Linked DNA regions of Drosophila melanogaster. Changing the gene in region 1 together with any one later gene gives a genetic interaction. Each region holds a gene or a part of one and is shown in the gene's direction. Other genes may lie near its edges.

Evidence for each region.
Region 2: of Pgi (region 1) and Tpi, changing one enhances a phenotype caused by changing the other (phenotypic enhancement), as found in Drosophila melanogaster (one study listed by BioGRID).

What each region holds. Positions count from the first base shown.
Region 1 is NT_033778.4:8,910,304-8,915,865, reverse strand, and holds Pgi (phosphoglucose isomerase), read left to right. Parts: upstream 1-1,796; 5' UTR 1,797-2,156; exon of another isoform or gene 2,157-2,295; 5' UTR 2,296-2,299; coding exon 2,300-2,433; intron 2,434-2,678; coding exon 2,679-3,261; intron 3,262-3,609; coding exon 3,610-3,849; intron 3,850-3,911; coding exon 3,912-4,440; intron 4,441-4,495; coding exon 4,496-4,686; 3' UTR 4,687-4,966; downstream 4,967-5,562. Other genes in the region: lin (lines), read right to left, coding at 1-765; CG8252 (uncharacterized protein), read left to right, coding at 5,517-5,562; CG30349 (uncharacterized protein), read right to left, coding at 5,059-5,222, 5,282-5,379.
Region 2 is NT_033777.3:30,132,364-30,136,522, reverse strand, and holds Tpi (triose phosphate isomerase), read left to right. Parts: upstream 1-1,923; 5' UTR 1,924-1,989; coding exon 1,990-2,244; exon of another isoform or gene 2,245-2,428; coding exon 2,429-3,013; intron 3,014-3,074; coding exon 3,075-3,281; 3' UTR 3,282-3,542; downstream 3,543-4,159. Other genes in the region: AdoR (adenosine receptor), read left to right, coding at 1-37, 104-1,248.

The sequences.
Region 1 (5,562 bases):
GTCGCAAACGTCCATTATCCGCGTGCAGATGAAGCCCTTTGCGTTCTGCTTCAGGTAGATATCGAACAGTAGCTGCAGATTCGACAGAAACTGCAGCAGCTTGTTGGTGGGCCACTCCCGCAGGTAGGCTATCCGTTTCTGGCCGTTGGTGTCCTGTGAGTAATGCGACTGGAAGGGCTTGCGCAGCGTTCGCTCCGAGACGCCGCACAGGCACTGGCGGGTCAGGGACTGCTCGAACTCCAGCATATCGTCGATGGACGTGGCTGTTGTTGCTTGCAAGCAATTGCTCCTGCTGCTAGCATGACTGCCATTGCCGTTGGTCGTGTCGAGGGTTAGCAGGTTGGGCAATTTGGCCGCCCTGTCCACTTCGTCATGGGCGGATTCAGGCTGGCTGTGCAGGTCTGTGTCCCCGTTTTGTGGCAAGATGTTGTGCAGCAGCTGGGCGTACGACGCCGCCCGGGAACTACAGGGCGTGGTGGTGGGGGAGTTGTTGGCGGTGCTTGGCGTTGACAGCGAGTGCGAAGAGGACGAGGAGAGCGAGGAGCACAGGTGGCTGTTGCTGTTGGCGTCCAGGTCCAGTATATCCGGCGGATGGGGCGGCTGGGGTGGCAGCGCCTTGGAGCCCACCTTGATTTGCTGCTCGATCTTCTGGCGCTTGGTCTGCGGCTGTTCGTTTGATGCGGAGGTCGTGGAGGTTGCTACCGTGGAGCATGGGCACACATCGCCCGTTCCGGCTCCAGATCCTGCTGCGGATGAGGTGTCCATCCTCCGCGCTGACGTACCCGACGTCCTGCAAATGGTCTGCAAGCGAAATGCCCGGTGAGCAGCGAATCTAAGCGGCGGCTCGCAGCCACATACCTACAAACCCGATTCCGACAAACAGCTTCCGTGCTACGCGCACACAAGGTTACGTGTGCAGACGCTGCTGCCTGGCTTCGTGGGGCGATTCTCTCGGCTTCCTGAGACACACTATGATTTCTTGGGGGCGACGAGGGCGCTCTAGCTGCCGCCAGGTGCTCTGACTGCTCCTCCAAACATTTTAAACGGCCACAATTCGATTTTCACACACTTGTTGCACTCTTCGGGCCAGCGACATGTCAATGTTTATGTGAGTTTCACTGCACTCGCGTTTCGCTTCGTGCCCGGGCCAGTCGATTGGGTCGTGTGCTGTTTCTCACTTTTTAAGCGCCTCCGATTGTTTCTCTGGCACTGCTTTTATTTTGGTTTTATTACACTTTATTATGTGGGAAAAAACAAAAATTAAGTGCGCGTCGCCATCTTTTAGCGAGTTTCAGCTACCTGGTAACCCTACTTGCGCAGCGTTGCCAAACGGATCTTGGTATTTGGCGTTAGCTATATACATAGCCAGGCTCGCAACCATAGCTCTGTCGTCACAACTCAATTCACATATATTTTACTTTCCGAAATGTATTATTTTTTAAAAATAATTATTGCACGCTTATAACTTTAGCAACAATGTTTGCTAAAGTAATTCTAATAACAATGACTCCGGTAGTTTTAATTTTCTAATGCGTGATAATAATTAAGTGCTTGAGAATTATAAGATTGCAGAGAACTTAACAAAAAATATTTTGTGAGAAGCTAATTACAGATAACAAATATTTTTCAATTTATATGTGCTAATTTAACGGGTAACTTTAAAGTAATTTTAAGAATGTTTTTATTTTTACATTTTTGACATTAAATAATAGAAATGCTATTCGATAGTCATTGACACCTGACAGCCCTGAACACCGAGCGTGCTGCCACATCGAGATAAAATTATGCCGTTAGCGGCGGTTAAGTCGTTTTGAAAATTTCAGTTTATGTCCTTTTGCCTACCGGTGCAGACGATCTAGGAGTAGGAAGTTCTCAGTTCATCTCCACGCGGCCACACACAGTAAATTCGCACACACTGCAAACCGATCGGCACATTAAAACAAGAGCGCGGCCGACGTGGCAACACTCGCTTGTTTTTCATTTGACATTGAAAGGTGCTCGCGAATTCCAGAAAGGACGTTGGAAAATCGGCAGCCGCTCAGTCAGTACCTATCAAAAGCAAACACGGCGAAGTTGTGGTGCGGTGCTCTGGAGATTTGCCGGAGCCAGATAATAGGAACTACCCGACGCCTAAGCAGCCGGATCCGCTATTATAAGTGAAGTGTCGCGAGCGGTCGAAGCAGTTCGCCTGTGCTCTCTTCTCCGTGTGCTACTAATTTGCATCGAGTGCTAAATAGTCCTCCCTTGCCCTTCTACTCCGCATCCGCCTGCTGTTCCTGCTTGGGATAACTGAAGTAAGATGGCCGGCCCACTTCCTCCGCTCAACCAGGAGGCAGCGTTCCAGAAGCTGCAGGAGTACTACGACTCCAAGGGCAAGGACCTGAACATCAAGGACCTGTTCGTGAAGGATTCCAAGAGATTCTCAAAATACAGGTGGGTTTTTGTGTCGATTTCGCCTCAGAGGGTGGAAGTTACGTATCTAGTTCCCGCATACATACACTCATTCGTGTATCCCCCATCGGCAATCGTTTATTCATCGAGTTGCGCTTTGCCCACTTTCACTTTCACCATCGGCTGTCGAGTGTCGCCGCCACTCGATTTGTCCTTGCGTAAGGTCACAGCAACGACCTCCGAATCGTACTTGCTCTGAGGTCAAATGTTTTTCGTTTGTTTATCAGCCTGCGCCTGCACACCCAGAACGATGGCGAGATACTGCTGGACTACTCGAAGAACCGTATCAATGACGAGGTCTGGGATCTGCTCCTCACCCTGGCCAAGGTGCGCCGCGTTAACGCCGCGCGGGACGCCATGTTCTCCGGCCAGCACATTAACATCACGGAGAACCGCGCCGTCCTCCACACGGCCCTGCGCAACCGCGGCACGGATCCCGTCCTGGTGGACGACAAGGACGTGATGCCCGATGTGCGCGCCGAACTGGCCCACATGAAGGAGTTCACCAACATGGTCATCTCCGGCGTGTGGCGCGGCTGCACCGGCAAACAGATCACCGACGTGGTCAACATCGGCATCGGTGGCTCCGATCTGGGCCCGCTGATGGTCACCGAAGCGCTGAAGCCCTACGGCAAGGGCCTTCACTCCCACTTTGTGTCGAACATCGATGGCACTCATCTGGCCGAGGTCCTCAAGAAGGTCAACTACGAGACCACCCTCTTCATTGTCGCCTCAAAAACTTTCACCACCCAGGAGACCATTACGAACGCCACCTCCGCCAAGACCTGGCTCCTGGAGCATTCCAAGGAGGTAAGTACAGCGAAAGGTCGAACATTAAATGACCTTCATTGATAGCGCTTTAAGCAAAGATAACCAAACTAATACAATGAACCATCAATGGACCCTAGTGATTTTTCTTATCATTCTATAAGAACCATTTTGACGTGTTCAAGCTATCAAATCAATTTAATGTGCTTATCAAATGCAGCCTATGGACTTAATCAAAGGCTAAATCGGATTTCAAATTCGAATTAAATGTTTCCAATATGAAATTCCACTTGCCTTAAATGTAAAATAGATAACGCAGCCAAAGCAAATAGTTACATCACAACATTTTAGTCTGGCCTATATTTGCAAACTATTTTTGTTTTGTTTTAGCCTGAGTCCGTGGCCAAGCATTTTGTGGCCCTGTCGACCAACAAGGAAAAGGTCACCGAATTCGGCATTGACAGCACCAACATGTTCGGTTTTTGGGATTGGGTGGGCGGTCGCTACTCCCTGTGGTCGGCCATTGGACTGTCAATCTGTCTGTCCATTGGCTTTGAGAACTTTGAGCAACTGCTGGATGGAGCTCACTTCATGGACAACCATTTCAAGACGACACCATTCGAGAAGAATGTAAGACTCAACTGAGAGTTAAGTAAAATGATTATAGTTAACCATTTTATTGGCTTTCCTAGGCTCCTGTTATCCTGGCGTTGCTAGGCGTTTGGTACTCCAACTTCTTCAAGGCGGAAACACATGCCCTCCTTCCCTACGATCAGTACTTGCACCGGTTCGCCGCCTACTTCCAGCAGGGCGATATGGAGAGCAACGGCAAGTTCGTCAGCAAGTCGGGCAAACCCGTCAAGTACAGCACTGGTCCGATCGTGTGGGGCGAGCCTGGCACCAATGGCCAGCACGCCTTCTACCAGCTCATCCACCAGGGCACCCGCCTGATCCCCTGCGATTTCATCGCTCCCGCCCAGACACACAATCCCATTGCCGGCGGCAAGCACCACAAGATTCTGCTATCGAATTTCCTTGCCCAGACGGAGGCTTTAATGGCCGGAAAGACGGTCGACGAGGCCAGGACCGAGCTGTCCAAGGCTGGCCTGTGCGGCAACGAGCTGGATAACTTGTTGCCCCACAAGGTGTTCGTCGGCAACCGGCCCACAAACTCGATTGTGGTGAAGAAGGTTTCACCTTTCACCCTAGGCGCGTTGATTGGTACGTCTCACTGTTTCAGCTCACGAGCACCTATTAATGTCAATTGATTTTGCAGCGCTGTACGAGCACAAGATCTTCGTTCAGGGCATCATTTGGGACATCAACTCGTTCGACCAATGGGGTGTGGAGCTGGGCAAGCAGCTGGCCAAGGCCATCGAGCCGGAGCTGGATCACTGCAACGAGGTCTCCACGCACGACAGTTCCACGAACGGTCTAATTAACTTCATCAAAGCCAATTGGAAGTAATCATGTCTGGCTATTTGTTGCGAATTAAAAAGAAATGTTTACACAAATGCTCTAATTGTTAGTAGTTTCTGAGCCGTTATTCAGTAGCCGCCGCTTATGTATACTCGAGCTACAAGCCCCCTGTTATTGGCACATTATTCAACTGTATTTATGAACTGGATATGTTTGTTTGCTTGCGTATCGATGAAATCTCGTGTCGGAATTAGACCAACAATTGGCTCTCACTATTCGTTGTTGCACGTAGTTTAAAACCGTAAATAAAAATTTATGAATTCGATGTAAAAGACTGTGTTTGGAAAAAAATGCTAATTTATTTTCTCGCGGCGCAACAACAAGGGAATTGCATTTAAGCTTAAATTACGGGTAGACTGTCTAATCCATGGATACGTCAGAGTCTGTGTCTGCGTCGGCGTTACCATCGTCGGTCGCCAGGTCGTCGTCGGCCACCAGCTCGTCTTCCAATGGGCTCTTCGGACTGCCTGGCTGATCCTCCTCCAGATCGCTCCAGTTCGTTTCTGCTTCGGGATCGGGCTCATCTGCAAGCAAGCGAATTAAGACTCGAGCCTTGTGCGAATAAAACCACTTGATAACTTACCTGGATCTTCGTCCAGGATCAGGGCTTTGTTATCGTTGAGATGATTGTCCGCGTTGCGTTTCATCTGGTTAATTATCAGGTTGACTCGCCCGGTTATTCTAAAAATAAAGAAGGCATTGAAAAGGTGTTATAACAATATTGCCAATATAACAATAATAGGAGTACACGCATTACTAAATTTTGTCGTGGCCAGATTTCGAAAATGGATCTTTTGTGCAATGATGGCGCTAGCTGTATGGACTACTTCTCCAGCCCCCACAACAAGAAACCCCCGAGTCCAG
Region 2 (4,159 bases), on another chromosome or scaffold:
ATGCGCTCCACGCAGCCGCGCCTCTATGTGGGTGAGTGTGAGTGCGCGTTGTCTCCTTGGAACTGTGGCAAAATCCCTATAACTCTCGTAACATTCCCTGCAGATTCACCCATTTGGTTGAGGCAGCAGCAGGAGGCCCTGAAGAACTCCCAGCTCCTGCCCAAGTGCGGAGTGGTGTCGCCCTGTTTCAACAACATCAACCAAACGGTGGCCGCCGTGGCTTCGGTGACCACAGATCTCGAGCGAGAAATGTGGAACATAGTGGAGGCCTCCAGTGGCGCCGAGCTGGGTGAAACCAGCTACGAGTTCCCTTCCCCCGCTCCGGGTTCCCAGCGCAGCAGTGAACGAAATAGCAGTTCCACAGTCCCACCAGCTCCTCCTGCTCCTGCGAAGCCCTCAGTTCCGTCCGCCTCCTATGACAACCACAACTACAGTTTCAGCCAGGATGAGGACGAAGATGATGATGATCTGGAGTTTGAGGACGTATTCGTGCCGGCCAGCTCTGTTCCAAATCCCGTTCAGCCTGGCATAGATCCCGTGGAACTGCGTCGCTCCCTGGCTTTGGTCATGAGGGAGAAATTGCGATCGGATGACACGGACTCCAGGCCAATGGGCAACAATCAGGATCTTCCCATAGATGAACAGTCCAGGGAGAGACCGCTCTCCACTCAAACATCTCCCACAAATGGCCCACTTCCGGCTCTTCTGAGGGCCAAACTGCTTGCTGGCAACTCCAATAGCGCTCACTGCCTGCCAGGATCCACGGCGAGTCCTGCTCCCCAGGAGCAATCCGGTATCTTTGTGATCGATAGTGAGGCGAGTCCCGGCTCAAATGGGCACAAGCCTAAGTATCGAAAGGGCACGGCATTCACTCGGAGTTCGCTGAAGAAGAGCCGATCCTGCAACTGTAGCTCCATCGCTAAGGGACGAGGGGTCCACGACGAGCCCAGCAGTAATCTCTGCAGGGATCAGGAGTCCTCTGTACTTCCACAGCATCCGCAGCCAGCCAACCATCCCACAGAGAACTTTTTTAGTCCGCTGAGATCGGTGGGCAGTTTCATGCAGCATTCCAACTTGTTTCACTTCCTCCAGCCTCACGCCGCCCGTCCCACCTCATCGACGGCGTCGTCCACGGCCTCCACGCCCACTCCATCACCACCGCCCATGGGCCAGGCTCAGGAGGAATCGGTTCCAGTGGGTCTGACCACCTCCTCGCCGTCCCTTCTGGCGACCAGCGCGGAGAGTTGACCTTCGCGGTCGGAAAAGAAGCGGGATCAGCAGGAAAGTCCACTGGAAGAGGATCACAAGGATGCGAAAGGGGTAAGGGGTGACCCCTGAGGAAATACTCGCAAGTCAAAGCTTTTACGTTAAGTACTTTCCAGCTCTCTTAGGCTCTCTTTCGGAAACGTTGTCAAATTCTATATCGGATCTAAATCAATTAGTTCGGTAGTGAAATATAGAGATTAGGAGCTATGCGCATTTATTTTGAGTGTATGGTCATAATACGTTTCTACGGACTAGTTAATTATGTACATACATATGTTTAATGTTGTTAGAGTATTTACTGTGTATATGTCAGCTTATGTATACCTGAACGTCTGTGAAAACCAAGTTAAGCCATGCGACATGAATTTCAAAGTTGAAGTTAAATAAAGCGATTAAACCAGAATGTACATTCATGTTGTGTTTTATTTTTGTTGGTTAAATAAGTCCTGATGCGATGTATGCCTATTGGTAGGGTATACAAGTTTTTCTTTTACATATGCTAGTATAGCGGATTTTGGCAAGCCTGTTGATAAAAGCTTTTCCAGAGCTTTTTGGAAGCGACGCCAAAACTATTGGAGCTCACTTGCTCAAAGTTCCCCATCAGATGGTTGGAGTCACTGCTAAATCTAAAACCGGCAACATTTTTAAAACCCCAACAAGCCGTTTATATAATTTCAGAATAACTTTTACTACTCCTTACTTACTATTGTAACCACAATAGAAATGCCGCCTGGAGTACTCAATGATCTGAACAGGAACGGTATCCAGTGCATTGCATCAGTAACGCTTCTCCAGCGATTCCCGTATCATCGGAACCACCACACCATCCCCACCATGGACCAGAACCGACCCACTGTGGGTGGTGTTACGGCGGAGGTACTAAAAGCCGTCGTTTCGGAAGCTCTGCTGGGCAAATTCACAGCTGTTTTCCCAAAGCTTTTCAAGTGCCAGTGGAAGACTTACGAAGGTCAAAAGAAGGTTAGTACATAAGCAGACGAACTTCGAGGTGGGTGTGTGCTCTGTGCCGGGATTAATCTCGAATCTGGGAAAAATCTGAGTGGAAAAGTCGACGGCGAGCCTCCAGTCATCGAGTTACCCACTTGAAATTATCAGTTCCAAACACTCTAATAGCAGTCCCCTTGTTTTGTCCCCCGATCCGCAGTTCTACGCCAATTTCAGCACCGATTGCACCGACAGCAACAGCAACAACATGAGCCGAAAGTTCTGCGTGGGAGGCAACTGGAAGATGAACGGCGACCAGAAGTCCATCGCCGAGATCGCCAAGACCCTGAGCTCGGCCGCCCTCGACCCCAACACGGAGGTGGTCATCGGCTGCCCGGCCATCTACCTGATGTACGCCCGCAACCTGCTGCCCTGCGAGCTGGGTCTGGCCGGCCAGAATGCCTACAAGGTGGCCAAGGGCGCATTCACCGGCGAGATCTCCCCTGCGATGCTGAAGGACATCGGCGCCGACTGGGTGATCCTGGGACACTCGGAGCGTCGCGCCATCTTCGGCGAATCGGACGCCCTGATCGCCGAGAAGGCCGAGCACGCCCTGGCCGAGGGCCTCAAGGTCATCGCCTGCATTGGTGAGACCCTGGAGGAGCGCGAGGCCGGCAAGACCAACGAGGTGGTGGCCCGCCAAATGTGCGCCTACGCCCAGAAGATCAAGGACTGGAAGAACGTGGTGGTGGCCTACGAGCCCGTCTGGGCCATTGGCACCGGCCAGACCGCCACACCCGATCAGGTAAGGTCGCCCGCAGAGGCTAATCTCTTCCAGAACTGATATTTTCCCTTCCCAATTGCAGGCTCAAGAGGTCCACGCCTTCCTGCGCCAGTGGCTGAGCGACAACATCTCCAAGGAGGTGTCCGCCAGCCTGCGCATCCAGTACGGTGGATCCGTGACCGCCGCCAACGCCAAGGAGCTGGCCAAGAAGCCCGACATAGATGGCTTCCTGGTCGGAGGCGCCTCCCTGAAGCCCGAGTTCGTGGACATCATCAACGCCCGGCAGTAAGCAACGCGATCTCAAGCATCAGATCGCTTTCGGCCAGCGAACTGCCCGCGAAGGAGGCACTGGAGGGCAGGACTCCATACTCCTGCGCGCGAATGCATTACGCACACACCTAGTTGTTGTCACCACCAAGTGCAGTTCCAAATTCATAGTTACCTTGCGAGAATGCTACTCACATCCTTGTTGTTGAACGTATAGTAGTCCATTGTGTAAATCTTAAATTATTCAGGCAATAATTATGCGCTACTCATTTACTTATATACCAAACCAAACAGGTGTCTTATTTTTTGCAAGACTATTTCAGCTATTTTTAGAGCGATTGGTTGAACGACAAGGTGTCCAAAGTTGTGTGCACATATGTACATATATGTGTCACCTCTGCGGACCTTAAACCGAACAAGTTATTACTTAATTTCTGATAAGCATGCGAAATGGCAAATATTTGGAATATGAGTTCCAACTGAGTAATCGAGGCAATCATTGTATTCACTTACCTAACAAGTGAATCAAATCATTTGCATCATGTTTTTGACAATATCTTGCATAAAAGCCTTCAAGAAGAAGCAATGCATCATAAGATAGCTTAACTTGAGATAAGAAAGGAAAACAGTTTGTACTTATTATACTTTATACTTATACTCAGAGTTCATTTCTAATCGAAGTGTTCGAAGATTGTGCACAAAGTTTGGCAAATATGGAGCTAAACAAGGCAATTTCTTTGTAGCTGATAAGTTATTTAGCTTAGTAAGTAATTTATGGTTAGTAAATCAACAAAATATTATTCAGTTTTTCTCAAAACATGAACAGGCTGAGAATTCTTGAACCCAAGTGGCCTTAGATACATTATCGATTTGACAAGCTCTAGTTCTCCGTTTTTGAGC